Rhinolophus ferrumequinum: one gene and its partner. Each later gene encodes a partner of the first gene's protein in a complex. Links are inferred from orthologs where the notes say so. Each region holds a gene or a part of one and is shown in the gene's direction. Other genes may lie near its edges.

The links.
Region 2: WASHC1 (region 1) and WASHC3 share a complex: the UniProt entries of both Homo sapiens proteins name them as parts of the WASH core complex. The link is inferred for Rhinolophus ferrumequinum from reciprocal best matches to the Homo sapiens genes WASHC1 and WASHC3.

Annotation. Positions count from the first base shown.
Region 1 is NC_046293.1:88,118,101-88,128,598, reverse strand, and holds the start of WASHC1 (WASH complex subunit 1), read left to right. Parts: upstream 1-5,755; 5' UTR 5,756-5,907; intron 5,908-5,937; exon of another isoform or gene 5,938-6,140; intron 6,141-6,181; exon of another isoform or gene 6,182-6,555; intron 6,556-6,810; exon of another isoform or gene 6,811-7,006; intron 7,007-9,640; 5' UTR 9,641-9,645; coding exon 9,646-9,794; intron 9,795-10,498. UniProt on the Homo sapiens protein: Acts as a component of the WASH core complex that functions as a nucleation-promoting factor (NPF) at the surface of endosomes, where it recruits and activates the Arp2/3 complex to induce actin polymerization, playing a key role in the fission of tubules that serve as transport intermediates during endosome sorting.
Region 2 is NC_046293.1:17,287,591-17,298,341, forward strand, and holds the start of WASHC3 (WASH complex subunit 3), read left to right. Parts: upstream 1-6,578; 5' UTR 6,579-6,682; coding exon 6,683-6,733; intron 6,734-7,298; coding exon 7,299-7,397; intron 7,398-10,751. UniProt on the Homo sapiens protein: Acts as a component of the WASH core complex that functions as a nucleation-promoting factor (NPF) at the surface of endosomes, where it recruits and activates the Arp2/3 complex to induce actin polymerization, playing a key role in the fission of tubules that serve as transport intermediates during endosome sorting.

The DNA of each region.
Region 1 (10,498 bases):
CCAGGAAGGGAGGGGCACAGCTCCTGTAATGCAGATCCATGTAGGGGAGTGGGCTCTAGGTTCCAGGTTACTTAGAGCATGTTATGGTGCATGGGGTTCAATGAGATGGATGCTGGACGCACACACACACACACACACACACACTCACGCACCAACCTCATTATGACTTTCATAGACTAAGCACTTTTGCCTTCATGGGGACCTTATTCTATAAACAAATATTAAAAGTTAAAATTTAAGACTATGTTGGCACATAGATGAATATATTAATATTTTATATTAAAATATGTCTTTGAATCTAAAATTCATTTTTGTCTTCTGACTTTAATTAAAATATTTTTGTGGGTCTCTACAAGTATTGTGTCTACTGTGACTAATGGATATCAGCCCTGCCAGTGGCCCCGCTTCTGCTCCCCCTTGCTTATGCTCCCGGTCTCTGTTTACCCAGCCGCAGGCCTCCAAGGCTGTAGAGAAGACCAGCATTGGGGGTCGTGGGAGAGCTGTAACGTTCTCAGGTGGTCATTTTGGGCTCAGAGTAGGGCACTGCAGCTCGCTGAGCTCTCCCTCTGAAAATGGAGACCTTCCTCACTGGGAGATCCAGGTACTGCTCCAAGAAGGATGCATTCATGGTTGCACGGAGTCCTTCCTGTCCTCCTGATACCACTGATTAGAGGTAAGTCTAAACAAATCTGAAGGAGCTCAAGTTTGGCCACAGAAAGAGCTGGCTCAAGTCTGGACTCCTTACTATACGACACATGAGACCCTCTATGAGAGAGAATATAGTGGATAAGAGTGCTTATTGTAAAGAGGTGGCCCTATCTGACCTTGAACAAGTTCTTAAATATCTTAAAACCTCATTTTTTCCCCAATTTTACATAAGAATGATGGGAATATTTTCCTCATCAAATACTTATAAGCATTAAACATTGTATATGTACATGTATTTTGCACTCAATGAAGATCTATATACTTGTTAGGAAATAGGATTGTTATGCAAAACAAATACACATAGAAGATCTCCTATCTCTTCTCCACAGGACAGATATTTCGTCATAATTGAGATTATATATGTAAAGTACCGAGCTCATTACCTGGCACAGACTAGCAACTCCAAAAATCATACCTAGTATTGTGGTCTGGTGCCTACTGACTTCTCTAATCCCATCCCCACCTCTCTCTGCCTTTGAACTTCAGCAACACCAAACTGTTTATGGTTTTGTCTCATTGCCTACTCCACACCCAACTGTGCATTTTCTCACCTCCTGATCATTATAGCAGAAACTGGCTAGCTCTTCCTCCTGGGAATAGAAATTGACTGTACTTCCCAGTCTCCCCTGCAGTTGGATGTGGCCATTTGAACCAGCTCCAGCCAATGGAATGTAAACAGGAGTTGCATGCTCCTTCCAGGCCTGTTCCATCAAACCTCCCACAAGGCTCTTCATGCTCTTTCCCCTTCCAATCTGGGAAGCCCCGTGTTGAAGATGGTAGAGTCTTAGATGGAAAGTACCTGGGTCCCTGGATTAAAATGTGAAGGAGAGCCATCCACTGTTTCAGACGTTCCATTAGTCAGAAATGAGCTTCCATTACATTTAAGCCATTATAAAGTTTTTATTTAAAGTTTTCAGTTTGTTGCAGCAGCTAACCTTACCTAAATTAGTACACTCCTGCTGTCTGATGTCCCTGGAATGCCTATAACTCCACCCTGCTTCACCGAGGTAACTCCTACTTATTCTTTAAGCTTCGTGTCTGGCATCATGTTCTCCAGGAAACCTTCTCCGAGCAACCCCCGAAGTCACAAGGAAGGATTAGGTGTATCTAGCAGACACTGCACAGCTGACTACCCTCTGTCTATTCTCCCCTTCCTCCTAATGAAATTCCAATTTTGTTCAGGGGATTTCAATACCCATTTCACAAGACTCCCTTGCAGCTAGCAGCAGTCATGTGATCCAGTCCCTGCCAATAAATTGTAAGAGGAAGTTGCTGGAGGGAGAGTCTTAGAGAAGCTTTAAAAAAAAAGGAAAAGATTGGCCTCCTACATGCCTTTTGCCTTTTTTCTTTGTGCTTCCTTTCTTCCCACCTGGAAGTCAGCTGCAATGCCCCGGAATGGAGCATACGTATTACAACCATAAGGATGCCTGCCATGTGCTAAGGCAGAGTAGAAAGAAGATTCCAGGTTCCGCAAGGCACCATGGAGCCACGAAATCAGCCCCGTTCTGTCTACTGCTGGTTCTCTTCCAATGTGGAAAACAGCATCTCCTAATGCGTAAGCCCTGTCGTGAGGTTTTTGTTTGCACTACCGAGAGCAGTCTGAACTGAATGCACGCCTTGCTCCGTGCTTCGGAGCAAGCCCTCCACTGCTTCCATCAAAATGCAATCACACCTGGCAAGCATCAGCTTAAGTGTCCGTTTCCCTGACTTGTTTGAAGGCACAGAGCAAGCACTCCACCAATGTGGGCTGAAAGAATGGTGACAAAGGAGACTGTTGCGTCTTCGTCATCTTCATTCTGGGGAAAGGAAAAGGTATCCTCGGAGGATACAGAGAAAAGGCCCTCAGTCTATCTGTGCTGCCACCATGCTCCTGTGTCCATGAGTGGAGCGTCACTCTACGGCCTCTGAGGTCTCTTCAGACTCTTGCGTTCTCTGATGTACCTCACATCCAGTACACGCTCCACACCGAGGAGGGTAGAAAGGGTAAGACACCGGCTTGGCCTCATATGGATACAGCATTTCCTGCTCCTAGCATCTTTTTGTTATTGTTGTTTGTTTGTTTGAAGTGAGGTGAAAGTCATATAAAGCAAACTTATATGACTGTCATGAAAGTTTGAAAGTGAACCGTTCAGTGGCATTCAGCACCTTCACAATGTTGTGCAACCACCACTTCTATGTAGTTCCAAACATTTTTATCACCCCAAAATAAAAACTTGCACCCATTAAGTAGCCATTTCCCGTTCTCCTCTCCCCTCAGATCCTGGAAACCACCAATCTATGCTCTGTCTCCCAGGATTTACATATTCTGGATATTTCATATACATAGAATAACACAATGGGCCAACAAAGGCAGGTAGGGCCATAGGGTCCACACATTAGGCTGACATTCAGCTTTTCTTTTCCAGGGCGAGGTCAAGGATTCCCATTGCAGCTTGAGTGGCTGAGGTCAAATGTCTTTGCAATCCAGCTCCTTGGAAGTTTTTAAAATTAGGTCTGGGATGAGTCTACAAATAGTAGATTTGGCAGAGAACTTTTATGTAGTGAAAGGTGAACTGTATGGAGGTGACCTGGCTGGCCTGGGCCATGGGGCACTGTCTAGCTGCACTTTTGTGAGAAAACACAGCTAGGTTTCCTGTCACGTGGTGTGTGTTTGTGTGTCTATGTATAGACAGACATCCCAGAGCACGTCCAAATTTCCTTTTGTCCTTGAATAAACTTTACAGATCACGAAGAACTTCTGACATCCAATGACAGCTCTCAAAAGGAGGCAGGGCAAGCACTTTTAACCCCAGTTTATAAACGGGGCAATCAAGGCCCAAGGTCATACAAGGAATGAGTGGCGAGGCCCCGATCCTGGGTGCTGTCCTCTGCACACAGCACATTTCCCCTCCTTTGATGTAACCTGGATACCTTAAGTTACTCGGTCATTGCTCAGGAGGAGTGAGGGGGAAATGCGTTAGCAGGTTGTATTCGTTAAAAACAAAATACCATAGCCTGAATGGCTTACACAACGTGAATAATTATTTCTCATAGTTCTGAAGGCTGGGAAGTCCAAGCTCAAGGTGCCAGCTAATTTGGTTCCTGAGAACTCTCTTCCTGGCTTGCAGATGGCCACCTTCTCTCTGTGTCCTCACACGGTGAAGAGAAAGAAAAGAGCAAACTCTCCGGTGTCTCTTCTTATAAGGGCACTAATTCCATCATGAGGGCCCCACCTTCATGATGGCCCCAGTTACCTCCCCAAAGGAGGTAATTACCTCCCCAAAGGCCCCAGATCCAAATACCACCACATTGGGGGGTAGGGCTTCAACATATGAATTTGGGGGGACACAAGTATTCAGTCCATAATATAGGTGGACTCCACAGCTGGTGGTGACCATGTACTACAGCTGGTGAGACGGTGGAATGTTCTTGTCAAAAGACAATTCAACCTAACTCTCTTGGAAGGAGGGGCAGGGAAGGAGGACAAAACTTGGAGAGTGTTAGGAAGAAAGTAGAATTGCCAAATTTAGGAAATAAAAATATCAAATACTTATTTGATTTTGAATTTCAAGTAAGCAACAAATAATTTTTTAGCATGTCTCATGCTTAGTTTGGGATATAATTACACTAAATACACACACACACACACACACACACACATATATTAGTTTTTTTTTATCGGAAATTCAAATTAACTTGGTGTCCTATATTTTCCTCAGGCAACTCTAAAAGAGACAGACCAAGAACTCTAAGACAAGCCCCAATGGACTCCAGGAGGGACAATTGTGAGATCTCTGGACTAACACTTCCACTATATATTTAACCTTTTTAAAAATCTTTTTTAAAAAAACTGTTAGGTTGGTGCAAAAGTCATTGCGGTTTAAAAGGTTAAATAGAATTGCAAAAACTGCAATTACTTTTGCACCAATCTAATAGTTTGTTTTTTGTATGTGATAACAAAAAATTTGCCATTTTAACCATTTTTAAGTGTACAGTTCTGTGGCATTAAATACATTCACATTGTTGTGCAACCATCACCACTACCAACCTCTAGAACTTTTTCATCATCCCAAACAGGCACGTCAAAGAAAACCAGATCTGGACAGTAGTTAAAGCAGTGAAAGCAGATTTTATCTAGGACTTTGCAACAGGGGAAAAGAGACCTCAGCACAGAACTGGGGTCAATTCCGAACATAGCATGGACAAGTGGGGATTTACAGCCAAGGAGCTGGGAGTGGTGGTCCTGGATGGAAAATTACTAATGGTGGGGTAATTCTTTGCTAAACTCACCTGACAGGATTCTTGCTGAAAGCAGGCCAGGGCGACTAGCTATCACCTGGGGTATGTTGGAGCATGAGGAATTTGGTCTGATATTTGATCAGTACGGAGGGTGATCTGATTAATACAGAGAGTGGGGGATTCTGTCTAAACCCACTTAACAGGATTCTCGCTAAAATTCGGAAACGTCAGTAGAGGCCTAGTTGGGAAGAGAATTCAGTGAAGCCTGACTACAGTTTGGTCAGAGGCTTTGTCAGAAACTGTACCCTTTAAACAATAACTCCCCCATCCCAAATTGCTTCCCCACCCCTGGCAACCACCATTCTACTTTCTGCCTCAATGGATTTGACTACTCTAGCTGTCTTATATAAGTGGAATCTAATACAGTCTTTTTCCTTTTGTGTCTGGCTTATATAATTAATTTTTAAAGGGGTGGCGGTGAGGGTGGTGGCGGAAACTTAGTGAATTCTATGGGGAAAACGGCCCACATTAGTCAAGACGAGAAAATAAAGGCGCGCTAAAAGACGTATTACATGTTAAGTGCGTAGGCTGGAGGGCGCGGGCTGTTTGCAGGCCTGTGCTGGGGTCGTGCAGGGGGTACACACGGGGAAAGGCTAGGGCGTCTCTGAGCCTCGGGCGGCAGAAAACCCAGGTGAGGCCAGAGGGGTGGGCAGTGAGGGGCAGCGACGGGGGCGCGGGCCGGCGGTTAGGTGTTGGGACTACAAGAGGCAAGCGCCCGGCGGTTGGAGGGAGGCTCCGAGTGCGATTCCACGCAGGGGTCGGGGACTGACCGCGCTCGGGGCCCGAACTCGGGGAGCCAGCGAGCGAACCAGAAGCCGCGCGCAGAGCGGCGGCGGCGCCAGGACCCGACAGCGCCGGCGGAGCGGAAGCGCGGCGGGCGGAGCGGGCGGAACGGATGGAGCGGCGCGGCGCGGAGCGCAGGTGACGAGGGGCTGGGCGGCCGGGGAGGGTGCAGGCCTCCCTGGTCGCACGCCGAGGGGACTGGGGGGAGCAGCTCCGGGGCGCGTTGGGCGCAGACCCGGGCCCGCGCGGGGCCGGGCGCGAGCGAGCAGCGGCGAGAGGCGGGTGGGACTGCAGACCCTGCGCCCGGGCTGACTTCCGACTCCGCCGCTGGACTCGCCAGCCTGGAAGCGGCGCGGGGCCTCCGCCCAGCAGTAAGGCGGATTTCCACCCCTGTTGGTCCCGGGCTCTCCGGCCCGGGCGCCTGAGCCTTGCCCTGGCCCTCTTCCCCGGAGTGAGGCCGAGGCCTGGCCGGAGGAGGGCCCTGCTGCGAAGCGGCCCCGCGCCGAAGGCCGCAGCCCTCCGCTTCCTCTCGGCCCGGCCCCGTGACCCTCACGTGCCTCTCCACCCTCGGGGCCGGGCTCTAGGATGCGGACGGAAGCCTCAGACCTCTTGCAGCTCCCGTCCCTCACTGAGGCCGGTTAATGCCTCTGCCTCCTTCGCCCCTCTTATGCGACCCCACCCTGATCACCTACAGCAGACGTTTTGGACCTGGGAGCTGGGTGTTCGGGGGTTTGCAGGAAGGATTTCATGCACTTCCGAAATTATAAACAGCATTATGAGAGAGAGGTATGGTGTGGGTTCAGTTTTTTGAAAGCGTCCATAGTTTTTACCAGATTCTCAAAGGTAGCGGTGTTCATTAGAAATATGTGAGCCACACACGTGATTTAAAAAAAAATAAACAAATGAAATTAGTTTAGTAATATTTTTTATTTAACTCAGGATAGGCAAAGTATGATGACTTTAGCACGTAATCAACATACAGTAGCCCTCCCCATCCCCCCCATCCGCGATTTCGCTGTTTGCAGTCTCAGTTACTTGGGGTCAACCACAGTTTGAAAATGGAAAATTCCAGAAAGAAACATTTCATAAGTTGTAAGTTGCACGCCTTCTGAGTGTGTGATGAAATCTTGCAGGTGTCCCACTCAGTCCTGCTCTGCCCTCCCTGGGTTGTGAATCATCCCTTTGACCAGTGTAACCATTCTGTAGACCTGACTAGGTTATCAGATCAACTTTCCAGGTATTGCTGTGCTTGTGTTCCGATAACCCTTTTGGCCTTTATTTTGCCAAAGCCATTCACATTACTGTTATTACAGTATCTTGTTATAATTGCTCTTTTATAATTGTTGTTAATGTCTTCCTGTGCCTAATTTATAAATTAAACTTTCTCATAGGTATGTGTGTATAGGAAAAATTTTACATAGTGTATATAGGGTCCAGTACTTTCTGCAGTTTCAGGCATCCACCGGGGGTTCTGGAACGGACCCCTGCAAATCAGGGAGAACTGTAAAAAAAATTTTGTTTTGTAAGGAGGGCACAGCTCACGGTGCCCATGCAGGGATCGAATTGGCAACCTTGGTGTTTTCAGCACCACTCTCTAACCAACTGAGCTAAATGGCCACCCAGGACTGTAAAAATTTTTAATAAGTTATCTTAAATTATTTTTTCCTACTAAATCTGAAATTCGGTGTATATTTTACACTTATGCCACATCTCAATTCAGACTGGCCACAGTTCAAGTGCTCAATAGCCGCGTGTAGCTAGTGGCCACCACACTGGACAATGCAGGCCTGAGGATTTCAGTCCAAACTCTTTGCTGTGGTATTCAGTGCTTTTTACAGTCTGGCCTCTCTTTATCTTTCTTTTTCCTGCTACTTGCCCAAGGATGGTTATACCCTCACCTCTCAGGACCACTTGCCATTCCCCTATACACCTTTGTTCAAGCTGTTCCTTCTACCTGGAATGCTTTCCCTGGGACTGTTAGGGAGGTACAGCGTCTGCTAAGAGGCTTTTCCGGACTCCCTTAACCCCAGAAGAGGTTCATCACTCCTTCCTCAGTGTTCCCCTAGTACTGTATTCACGGCTGGATTAGAACACATCACATGCTGTTTAATTGTTCTTGAGGCTATTCCCATGGCCAGTAGAGTGCCCTGTTCATCTCTGTTGTGATCATGGCAGGCACCTAATAGTTGATAAGTAGATGTTTGCAGACAGAACGAGTAAACCGCCAACCAGCTGTACTCAGTCTCTTAATTCCTGAATGGACCCAGGACTTCCTTGTTCAGGAGATTGGTGCCTGAATCACTCCCTCGTGTGTGTGTACACACACAGATATGGTGACTAGCCATGACGAATGCATTTCAAGATGTGCACAGGAAAGTGTCTTCTACCTGTGGTCCCCTCCCCATCTTACAGATGGGAAAGCTGAAGCTCGGGACTAAATTAGGGTGGCCAGCAAATTTGCATCAATATGAATACCAAGAAGTGGAGGGATTCTCCTTGAAAGGAGTTGGGGGGGTGTCTCAGGATTAGATTCCTCAGACAGTTAGGGATCAGCTAGCACCACTCTTGGTCGTTTGATAGGAGGCAAGAGAAGTGAGGAGTAGTGCTGGGCCCTGTTGAGGATTCAAGGGAGGTTCAGGTCTGAGAAGCCGAGGACATGACTGTTGGGAAACAAGCTGGGGAGCAGAACAGTCATCTCGGCTAATGAAAGTGCTGGCCTGGGAAGGGCAGGAGAGAACAAGTAGGGCGGACGGAAGGGCCAGGGGAACCAGCAGAGGGAGCGGAGAAGCAAGCACCTACTTGGTGAAGATGTGGTGCGATATATTGGGAAAACCCCTTAGAGAGCAGTGCCATTCTCTGTAGAATGGGAAATAGCATCAGATATTCAGAGCAGGCAAGCGACTTACCCGAGGTCACATAGCACTTTAAGCCCAAATGAAGCCCCCTAAGCCCTCCCTGCCATACTCACCGAGCCCCACCCACACCGCTGTTGCAACCAGGGGCCTTTAACATGGAGCCTAGGAAAACAGGTCTGGAGCACAGTGCCAGGCCTGGTGAGTGTCTTCCTCCCCATCTTCTGCCAAGGGGCTGTGATTAGACCTATTTATAGGGGTCTGGGGCCTTAATATTCTGCTTGGTGCATCTCTTGCCAATCAAATCAGTGCCGTCTGCAGTGCGATTGCTACTTTAGTGGCACCAGGGAGTGGAGTTAATTAAGCCCAGTATAAATAGACTCTGCCCTGCCTTGCAATTCGAAGGAGCGCTTTTCCTTCCTGTTTCCTGGCTCCACATACCCCTGCTTCCTCCCGGCCCCCCTTAGCTGGAGCCTGGGCGAGCAGAGTCTGGACACTGCAACCTAGAGTCACTAACCACTGCCTGTCCTATCTGAGGACTAAGCCCTGAGTTCCTCAGGGACCAAAGTGAGAAGAACCCAGGAGTCCACATTCTCTGTGCTTTTCCATAACCCAGGTACCGTTTGGCAGTTGACTGAGGCAGATTTTCTCCCCACAGCTATCCCTCTGCTTCCAGACTTTTTCACTTTGCAGCCAGGGCTTCTTTCTTGTTCATCCAGGCTTGGGAGGTTGAAAGCTGTATGGTAATATGTGACACCTTATGGGGTCAGTCAGTGTTGTACCTTCTCTGAACCCTTCTTGTCGCCTCGTTCCTACCAATTTCCCTCCCGCATTCACTCAATAAGCAGCATACCTGTGGGCTCCTGGCCTCCCACCAAATGCTCTGTCCCCAACTCCCCACCTGTGCGTGCTGAATCGGTGGGGTGAGGGGCTGTGCGCCCTCCTCCCGGTACCTTGCCCTGTGGTGGGTGGGGGTGGGGGAGTGTGGGGTGGCCCTCATGCTCCGGTTTCCCCCACAGGCAGCATGACTCCCATGAGGACCCAGCACTCGTTGGCAGGTCAGACATACACAGTGCCCCTCATCCAGCCGAACCTGCGGCGAGAGGAGGCCATCCAGCAGGTGGCGGACGCCCTGCAGTACCTGCAGAAGGTCTCCGGAGACATCTTTAGCAGGTGGGTGCTGCCCTGGGCAGTCGTCTCTCCTTTCCCAGGAAGGTCCCTCTAGGAGTGACCCTTCTGGTGATGTTTGGTCCTGGGGGGCCCCAGCTTAGAAGCTTTTTCTCTCACGTGCTCCTAAGAGCTACGTACTGTCCCACTTAGCCCCCTGCGTTCCCTCCCTGTGGATCCCACAGGCCCAGTGGTGGTACCGCTCTCCTAACTCCTGCTCTTCCTCCCTCTGGGGGCCCACGTGCACTTATTCCCGCAGTCAGCAAATCCTGTGTTCAGGCACTGTGCTCCTCTCCTTAGTTACAGCGGTGAATAAGGGAGATCCCAGAGGTAGACTGTAATTAATCAATTGCATGTTATTTAATTCTAATTGCGATAAGACCTATTTTTAATAATTTTGTAAAAGCTGGTATTTATATAGCATTAACCATGTACTTCCAATGAGCTGAAGCACATTAACTCATTAACCCTTACAACAACCTTATGAGGAGGTTCTGTTGAAATCTCCTTTAATAGATGAGGAAACCGAGGCACAGAATGGCTAAGAGACTTGCCCAAGTGCAGAGCCTGGGGTCACAGCCAGGTATGGTGGCTCCAGACTCTGGAGTCCCTACTGTCTCTCTGTGAAGATAAGTTGCTATGAGAGCTGTGAGTGGGAGGCCCGACTTGGTCTGGGAGGAACCGGAGGAGGCACATGTAGGGGAAACATT
Region 2 (10,751 bases), about 71 Mb from region 1:
AATCCACATGTGAAAGATGAGAGCTCTGTGTTGTCTTACATTCTGTATTTGACTTTTTAGCGTCCGTTCATCACAGGGCCAATTATATTAATTATATTTTCTTATTTTCTGTATTCTTGAAGCTCTGGCATTTGTGGTCTTATAGACCCTGGGAGATACTGTCTCTCCCAGGACTAGCTAATTCCTAAAGATAGTAAAACATCTTACTTGGAAGCTCATTTTTATATGCAAACCAACCAAACCTGAGCCCATTACAGGTCCCTTCCCCTTCCACTACCCCCATTGAAAAGTAGAGCATTTCTATGAAAACTTTTGTAGGTTGAAATGGCATAAAGGGAAAAAGCAACTATCATTAATTTATATGGAAAATTTTTTGAGTGTTCCCACACCCAAAATTCAACGCACACACCGTGTCTTTACTTTGTTCACAATTATCGAAATGCTTAATTATGTCGTTTTACACTAAGCCTAACACCCTTAGGAGCTCTCTCAGGCTTCTCTGATACCTTAGGATACATCTCGCTAAGGGATACAGAATGTAATGGAGACAAAGCACAGATGCTCACAGACACCGGTCAAGGCTATGGCGGCTTGATGCTGAGACACCGAGTGGTTCGGGGGAAGGAGCTTGGCGGGGCCACTCTCATTACTCAGGTGAGTGCTGCCTGCATGAGGGCTCACTGCAAAACAAACGCTGAGCACTATTTTCCCTTTTCACCTTTCTTCATAAAAGTGAAAATCCTCTTCACAGGTACTAAGGTAGGCCTTCGGTAAAAGCCAAGTGGCGTAACAAAAACTTGAAAAGCAGGAGGTACCTGTACCCCCAGCCATCTTACGTAAGCCTTCATACATCAAATTGGCAGTCATTCACATTAGCCAATCTCCAGCTGTATCCCTGCCCTGCCTTGCCTTTCCCGATGAGGCAGAAAAAGAGTTAATGACAGTGGACCCAAGCGGGATGGCCCAGGCCTGCAGCCCCTCCCCAGGAACTGCCCAGCCTGGTCTCAGAGATAAGCTTCAAACACCCCTTAAAAAGGCAGATAAGACCCCAACGGGATTGAGTTTGTTCCTGACACCTGTGCAGATGGCTGAAGCCTAACCGCAATTAGAATAAAATGAGCATTAAGGTTTGGCACCCCTGTGGGTTTTTCTGTATGCATTATGGATAAGAGCATGCACAGAAACTCGTTATGTAACCTGCATACGTCAATCAAATGATCTCAGAGGGGCGTCACATCTCCTGCTGTAAGAAAATTTACCTGCCTTTTTCTATATAAGAAAAAGCTATCCTAGAGGAAAGGGCAGCCGTCTTCCCAAGACACTGACACTAGCTTCCTTTCTCCTGACTAATAAAACCTCTCCTTGCTTTCTCATTTGTCTGAGTCTTGTGAATGCTTTCACACTCTGCAACTGACCAGGGGTATCTAAAGATAATACATTTCCCACAGAAACCCCAATAAAGACCCTGGCCTAGGCTTTCCCCTGGCTCCTGCTTCTGTCTACCTCCTAACCAAAACCTAATGGCTCTGTGTGGCATGCATGCCCCTTTCTCCTGGGAAATGTAACTAAGAAATTCTCTCAATAGCATTAGCCTCTCTGTTTCATCACTTAGGCACCTGTATGTATTAAAACTCACGGGTACAAATGCAACTGAGACCTTTCCCCAACCCGCTCAAGGAAAGCAGTACCATCTGGCTACCTGTTTTATTGGAGACCCCCCCCCAACTGTAAGTATCTTTCGATCTCCTCTTGAAGTAGTCATCTTTCTAGAGGGGAATCCAGTCTCCGGCCTAGAGGATATAAGCCTACAACCCAGCTTTCTGAGTGAAGTTCCAAAAGCCAGAACAATTAAAAGAAGTAGCCTAAAACAACGAATTCTTAACACAATGGAAATAACTAGGATAGAATTCTTTCACTTGACTAACACTATTTTCCCTTTTCAACAGACAATTGGTATCACTCCTGAAGGGTGAGGTGGGGCAGGGATAGGGGACATTTTATTTGCCCACTATTATGAACCAATACATACCCCTTTAACTGTTCCATCTGAAGCAGAGCAGAAAGAAACACAAAAGAAAAACGGGAACTCAATTCTCATTATTTACCCCACCTAGAACTTACCCATGATGAAGTTAAATGGCAGTGATTTTTCTAGTAATCTGCTATGAAAACCAAGATAAGTATTGAAAAATTAAGATTTTTTTTTTATTGAACAGATAGATGCAGATGGCATATTAGTCTCTGCCCTTTGAAGCTGGTATCCATTACAATAAACTTGTTTTGCTATCAAAATTCACTACGGTAAATGAAATATGCTAATACATTTCCAATGAGAGAAAGCCTGCAGGAAGAAGAACATATTTCAGAGGATTTCTGGCAGTTGGCCAAGACTTACAGCTATAGATTGTTTTTAATAGTCCTGGAAATTCAGTGACTAAATTGTGACTGGCATTGCTGTCAGGAGCTAGGGATGATTGATGATCAAGGACCCCAGGAAGCAAAGAAAAACTGCCACTCTTCTTTCTCTTAACTAGAACTCTCCTCTTCTAGAATTATATTTGTCTTTTGTTTTATAAAGAAACCGAACCACTGTGAAAAAAAAGTGTTTTGTCAATTGGCCGACTGAGAACAAGTTCATGTTTCTATAATTCTATTTTATACATATATAGAGAACAGATAAATACATAACCATAAAGCGGATCTCTGATTTCGTTTTGTCTTTTTTTCCTATCTGGTTGGGAGCCTCTCCTGGCTCTGGAGAGGAAGGCTAGACTCTAGGCTGGCTTAGTTGGGATTCTGCTTTGGGGAGCTGATTGAAACAATTTATCCAGAATTGTGGGTCCCACCTAAATCAAGGATTCGTGTAAGCTGTGAAAGCACAAGGGTCATTAGGCCCCAATGCATTCAACAGGTACTGAGGGTTTACAATAGATCAGACATTGAGCTAGGGCATTAATAGTGAACAAGGCAGAATCTCTGCCCTAAATCAATGGTCTAGTGCTTCAGACAAACAAGTAAGTATAATATGTACTGAGATGAAGTGAAGCAGAAGATGCTATGGAAGGAAGCATGTATTTGGAGGAACAGTTAATCTAGTCTTGATGGATGAGGGAAAGCTGCTCTAAGGATAGGATGATTAGACTTCTGCCACTGATTAGGATATAGAAAGATGTCAGAAAGCCTCTCACATTTGTAGTAATAAGAAATAACCAGATAAAGTAATCACACTTTTCCATGGGGTTGTTGGGAAGCAGTGGATAGATCTTAATAATTAAATTCTGACAGGTATTTATGTCTAGAGGGACACAGGTGAGCAGAGAGCTGTGCATTGCCATACTCAAGAAGAAGGGTCTGGTCTGGGTATAAGTAGATGGAAGAGCAAGCCTGTGACACTCTGGGAAAATGCAGAGTCAAGAAGAAACCAGCGCAGACTTTGCCAACAGTATAAGCTGGTGGGACAGACTTGGGTCTGGAAGGAACCCAATCACAAAAATAAATCACTTAGGCCTCCATCCCAGCCCCCAGGTTGCTAAGATTGAACATGCAAGGGAGAGTGTGCCTGAAATAGGAGAGTACAGGACAAGATCCCAGGAGGAGAATTGCCGGAACTGAGAAATCAGGATACCAGAAAGATGATCTCTGTAGATACTCAAATTTCAAGAATTACAACAAGAGTAGTGTTAGAAGGAATGGCAGTGAGCCATAAACTAAGGACTTCAAGGAATGAATAACAGTAACCTAGGAGCCTGCAGATGACCGCTACGAGGATGTCATTTTATGTCTGATAGCATAAACCCAGAGCTGTGGGGCGTTTGTAAGGAAAAAGGAACAACAATGGTCTGAAAGCAATGAGAAGCAAGGAAAACACCCACCCCACCTCCTGGCCTAGTATTGTAAGGGTGTGGGTGAAAAAAGAACCACAGGATGAATAGGATGCTATATCCTCAAGAAACAGTCAAGCTTGAGTTTGAAGAGAAGAATGAGCAAAGATGAGATTGAGAAATGAAGATTTTGCCAATGACCCAATTCCCAAACCCTAGAGGAAGGGTCTAGAAGTTGGGGAGGGGTCAGGAAAGGTGATGTAGAAACCCATATGGTTGAGGTTGAGGAGAGCCTGAAGGATGAGGGATAACTTGGGAGTCCCGGACCAATTGTGAATGTTTTAAGGCACAGAGTAGTTGAGGAAAAGGTGTGTGTGGAGGGGGATTCGGGGGGGGGGCGGGGGGGACTCTTGCCAGAAGCAGGAGAGCTCATGAAAGAATGAGTGATGGTCTTCACTCCTACCAAAGGTGCTGTGTAGGCCAGGGAAGGGGTGCTCTTATCTGGAGCATGTAGATCTCGGGCGTGCAAACCTCACCACCTTTGTACATACTGTTCCTCTTTGTGGAATGCTCCTCCCCATTTGCTTCACCTTGCTAACTTTTGTATCTTCAAAATTCAGCTAAGACATCAGCTCCTCTAGGAAACCACACCTAATTTCATCAATCTGATCTGGGTGCTCCTGTTTGGGGCATACTTTAACCTAGACTACCACATTGTTAATCTTTTTGCATTTTTCTGTCTCCCTAGCTGGACTGTGAGCAACTTAATGTCTGTTTGCTTACTTGTTCATTATCTGTTTACCTTCATGAGGGCAGAATTTTTGTCTGTTCTGTTAACACTGTATCCCAGATTCATAGACTAGTGCTTGGCACATAGTAAGGAATATCTTGTGGATTGATGGATGGCTGGCTCTCTTCAATCCCTGACACCATCCCAGGTCATCCTAGATCACAGCCCTCAAGACCATGTATTAAAATTATTAATGAGTATTCATTAAAAAGCAGAGTGGCTGGTACTAAGTGAGGACTCATAAGAAAAGAAGATAATATTTACCCCAAGGAATTTAGTATATGTGCTGCCGAAGCGAGCACTTTACCCCAAGGAATTTATAACCTAATGGAAAAATTCCTACTCATGGACATTATCAAGGCAAAAAACATAAAGGACAGTTGCCTAGAGCTGTCACTCACAATGTTTATCTTATTTAGTGTGGCGCTAGTACAGTATTTAGAACATAGAAGATGCTCAATAGATGTTGTTGAAAAATAACAATGAAATATTCAATTATATGTGAAGAGATTATATAGTCACAATTACATAGATACAGAGACATGAAGAAATATATTTAAACATATTCCTCATCCTATCCATCCTCACTTCTACCTCCCATTTCTACGTCTACAAATAGTACTCTCAACTTTTCTGTTTCCAACTTTTATTGCACATCTATGTGCTAGGCAGCCTTTTTACAAATGTAAATCGTCACTCTCGTGTTCAGAATTTTTGAATGGCTCCATCACCTATAGAAATAACACCTTTTGGTTCAGAATAATGGTGGGGGCAAGCGAGGTTGATTAAAATGCGGATTTCCCCCAGAGGTCCTGAGTTTATCTAAGGTCAATTCCTGGAATGTGCATTGTAAGAAGCACCATCCACGCCCAAATAATTGATACAACTGGCCCATGGATCACACTTTGGAGAAACATGAACTAGAGTATCAAATCTGGCATAAAAGGGCCTTAATGAGCTCTTCTGTCCATTCCTGTCTCATTTGCTTCCATTTTCCATTTCTGGGATTTTTTGCTTCAGCACAACCAGTTACCCATTGCCTCTACAAACCATACTCCTCCATGCCTCTATGCCTTTGTTTGTACAAAGATCCACCCGAAATTGTCTGTCTGGCTAACTCCACTCAGGAACCTGCTAAAAAACTACCTTCTGTCGTTTAAAAGCTATCTTCTCTGGTTTTCTCAGAGGATTTAAAAGCACCTTTCGTCTACAATACCAAAGCACTTTGCCTCTGTGTGGGTGTGTGCGCACAACTTTCTCAGTATTGTTTGCACTAGATGTGGCAATTCCAGACTCTACGTCTGCCTTAGATTAAAATCTTCTTGAAGGCAGAGACGATTTTCTTCATCTTCTTAGTACTGAGCATCGTGCTTGGTATCTAGTAGAAGGGGTTCAACTTTTGGTTTGGTGACTTGTCCTAGATCACATAGCTGGTAAACTGCACAATCAAAATCTGAACCAAGATCTTCAAATCCCAGGTGCAGTCTTTTCAGGTGTCTGTGGCCCCTTTTTGATGATGTCTCTAAGTGGATATTTCCAACGTATTTCATGTTTTAAAGTCCTCTAAAAACAAGTCTTATCTTCTCTGTCAGGGCATAAAGCACAGCGGGCTTAATCTGACTCAATCTTGGTATTCCCCACAAGGCCTAGCAGAGTACCTGGCATTCAGCATAAAAAAAAAGTTACACACACACACACTTGATTAATGAATGACCCCTAGCTAAATATATTTAACAGATAAAACTAAGCAGGTATAACCTCAAAAGGACGCAATCATTTACTCTTCTTTTTTGCCTCGTTTTTAAGATTTTACTACGAGAACTGCAACCACGCTGCACCCCGCGTCTGACGTGACAAACCAGACCTAGAACTACCAATTCCAGAATGCCATGCGGGGGGCGTGCTCTCCGAGAGCCGCCGAATGATTGGCGAGCGGGGACTTTTCCTTCCGGCAGGAAGGGCCCGGGAGGCGGGGACTTGGGGGAGACGTTTAAACACTATTACCAGGTTGGGCGGGCCACGTCAGGGAGGACTTTGTGGGTGATCCCTGGGTCCCCCGCCCGCTGAGGAGATGGATGAGGACGGGCTTCCTCTCATGGGGTCAGGCATAGACCTGACCAAGGTTTGTAAAGGAAGGAGTTGAACTTCCGGTGACCTGGGAGGAGGATGGGGAAGGGACGCCCGATGCCCAGGGGGACCCCATCTCCCATGCCTCACCCTGTCCCTGGCCCCGGGCTTCTCTTCGGCCGGTCTCGGGAGGGAGAGTCCCACACTTCACCTTGAAAAGGGGTCCCTCCCGAGCTGTTTAAGGGGGTCGTGTGCCTCTCCCAGCCCTCGCTTCACGGGTCTCTATGCTCAAGGCGACATGGGCCGGTTGCGAACTCTAACCCCACCTCTTTTACTCGGCCCCCAGGTTTTTTGTGTGTTTATGTGTGCTGTCTTTACCGACAAGTTCTTACTTGTGAATCCAGAGCCCATTCTCAAACTTTTCTGCAGCTTCTGCCATCTTCGGACACCCCACCCCCACGATTTGGGAAAACAAACTATGGACTGCCTGTTGGCAGTACTAAAAGGGATTCGTGTCACACAGCTCATAAAACACCCCGTTATATTAATATCAAAGGGATTGCACAGTGTATCTTCCTCCTGTACGAATCACATATATATATATTTTTTACATAACACAGGTGCCAGCTATTCAGCAGAAAAGAACGGTGGCATTTCTAAACCAGTTTGTGGTGCACACTGTACAGTTCCTCAATCGCTTTTCTACAGTTTGTGAGGAGGTAGGTCCTGTGATACTGGTGTAATGAGTACCCTAAAAATCACTTTGCACTTCTGAAGACGGCAAATGAGTAAAACAAGAATTACAGTCTACTCTTCCCATATGAACCCAATTATGTTAACATACTTTAAATCCTTTTTGATTCTGTTACCATCAGTCCTGCACTCCACTTCTGTTGCATTAGTTTTCTAGAGGCCTTTGTGAAATAGTTCAGTAAAGCTTATGATTAAAGAGAACAAAAGGAATTCCAAAATTTCACAGTTGAAAACATTTTGTATTTTGAAATTAGTTATGTTTCTCTTACCCCAAAGATTTACATTTTCAAGTTCACATTGTTTCAGTTGATATTAAAATTATTTTACATCTTTGGAGCCAAAAAAAAAAAAAATGGGTAAGAAGGTAGCCTAGAAACATAGCTTTGGCATCAAATATCATTATGAAAATAAAAATACTTTCTGCAACTGATTTGTGAAGTGAGGATTAAGTACCCAATTAAAGATGAGAGATCCCTGTCTTTAGGGGGGAAAAAGGCAAAAAAGAGAATGGGGAGGAAATGGGAAACATGGGTTGAAATTGGATTTAAGAAAGGAGAAAGATAAACTCACATAATTCACAGGTGAGCCAATTAAATAAGCCTATTGAGTTCTTTATGTGTTGTATTTAACATAAGGTATAGCCTTAGCAAATGGAGTTTTTCTTAGATATCTGATTAATAAAAATTGCATGGAGAGAAGAAAACTATTTTCACTTGTAGATTTCAGCTGCTGTTTTTGTCTAGCTATCAAAATCTTTTCTGTCTTCTTACTAAGACAAAGGCACTGAAATGATAATTGATAGAGTAAGGGATTCAATTCAATATATTTTATCTAATAGGTCCAGAGACTAGGTGCTTGCTTCAGTGAGTTTTATATTGCTGCCTCTCTAAATGGGTGTAGAATTGACTGACCAAAAACCAGTAAACCAAGGATTTAGTCCTTCACTTTTTATGTCAGGGATGGGTAGAGAAGTATCTGGACAGCGACTATTCCAGGATTGTTAGTAGAGAGGAGCAGATACTCCATCCCCTCATCACTGGGTTAAAAAATAAACAGCAACAGCCAGCAAACACACCTATGAAAGCAACTTAACTGAGCTGCTCTGGGCCAAGGATAGCGCCTCACCTCTGTAGTGCCTCATGGTTTTCATGGCCTGGGCAGTGAGTACTGTCGACTGGGGACTAGATCAGATATAACAATCATCATCTCTTGTTTACTGATTTCTTAGGAATTATCAGAGCCTCGTGATTCATTCTTTTCTCCCCTTCTCAACTTCCTCTCTCAACTTCCCCTCAGCTGTTTTCACTGTATTGTTCACTATTCCCTAGTTCTTCCTTGAACTCTAGAGACAAGCTTGTTAACTAAAAACTCATGAAGTTTAAATGTTTATTGCCTTTTTCTCCTTAATGAATGATACTCTAGGTTGACTAGGACTCATTATTTACAATTCATATTTTAGCAGTTTGGATATAGTTGTAGACTGTTTGCTGGGTGTGATGACAGTGCTTATTCCGTGCTAGGCATTGTACTAATTGCTTTACATATCTTTAATCATTCCAGCCAGCCCTTTGGAAGAGGTCCAGCTATCTCTCTCTTAGAAATACAGAAACAAGATGTAGAGAAGTTTAAATCATTTGTTTAGCCATTCATTCATTCATTCAACATATATTTAAGTGCATAGTATTTATAGCTGCAGTAACTGCGCTAACTTGCCCACACTCACAGAGCTGGAAAATAGCAGAGCTGGGATTCCAACTCTGATCTACTCACTGGAAAAAACAAAAATGTCTCCCTATTCAGTTATATTGCATCTTCTGCCCTGAATAAGAGGCATGTTTACATCATTTGCAAGTGAGAGACTTCAAAGTGTCTTTTTTATAGCTATTTCAAATTGTATTTTTCAGATACGTATTCTCTTTGCTATGCCATATCCCTTTGATGTAATGTCTTTTTGATATGATGAATTCAAAGGACATAATATATGTGTTCAAACATAAGGTGCCATTTTATTCCAAGTTAAGATTAATGTGGTTTTTTGACATGGCACCTAGTAGGTCTATAATCCTCATTTAAAGCCTCAAACAAGAACCCAAATGACTGTTTCCCTCAACAAAACATGAACCTCAGCTGTTATGTGTTGAACTGGAAGTTAATGGGGGAGGGAGGGAAGAAATACCTGTTTGTGTTTTGTTTTTTGTTTTTCATACAATCTGGTTTGAACCAAACCCAAACTGTAACAACTTCAGTCACTGCTAAACTTAAACTGTAATTAAATTTGAAATAAATTGCTGGGGCTCTCTTCATCACTAATACTGGTTTTAGAGTTCTCTAGTAAAGAGAAAAGTGAAGAACTTAACTTTTAAAAAACTTTCTGGATACCAGACTACTTTGTAACTGTTCTAATGACTGGATCCAGGGTAGGAAAGAAGTTAGAAGAGGGAGAAAGGAAAGTAGCTGAATCAGATCCAAGTTGCAGAGTTACTTAGGGTCATCTCTTCACAAATCCCCAGTAAGCATTTCTACTCTGGCCCTAATCAGCAAAATCTTATGGTGGTCCATTGGGACTGCTAATTTAAATTGGGAGTGGGGTGGGTGGGGCATTCAATGCAAGTTCTATGCATATTGCAGATAAAAGTGAGCAGAAATTTAACCTTATATTGAATTTTAAAGTCAAAGCTACTCTATAAACAGGATAGTCAGATGTGTCATTTTGACTCAGACTTGTAACATGCCTAGAATACTGGGTTTTTAATCATTTAAAACATATTCTAAAATGTTTCTTTTTGTTTCTAAAATCTTAAGTATAGGCAAAACTGCTGAGAATTCTCACATAATCTAAAAAACTTTACAGTGCTTATCTTCTACATCCAGTTTTAAGCCCACCATCGGACTTATCAACCAAATAATGTTTTGTTTAAAACTATTTATTGCTACAAGTTTTTACAACTGCTTTTACAACTTTTACAACTGCTGGGCTTAAGTGTCAGATGAAGCTTAATAAAACCAGCAATTGCTTCCCTTTCTGGCTGTTCGGACACGTACAATCCAGTGTGATATACCAAGAGATCCATTATTTTAAAATACTGTTTCTCTTTTAGAGAATTGGATATGCACACTGGATATTTTACAAACCTAAAAACCACAGTATTTTATTTTTGTTTCCATGTTTAACTATTCACTCCATATTTCTTCCTTTCGTCTTCTTTTTCACTTTAATAAAATACTCTGCGTTAGAAATAGATGGGTGATAAATCAAGAAGTTTTCAGCTCAGCTTACAGATTTCAGGTAACTTGTAAATTCCTCTACTGTCCCAAGCCAA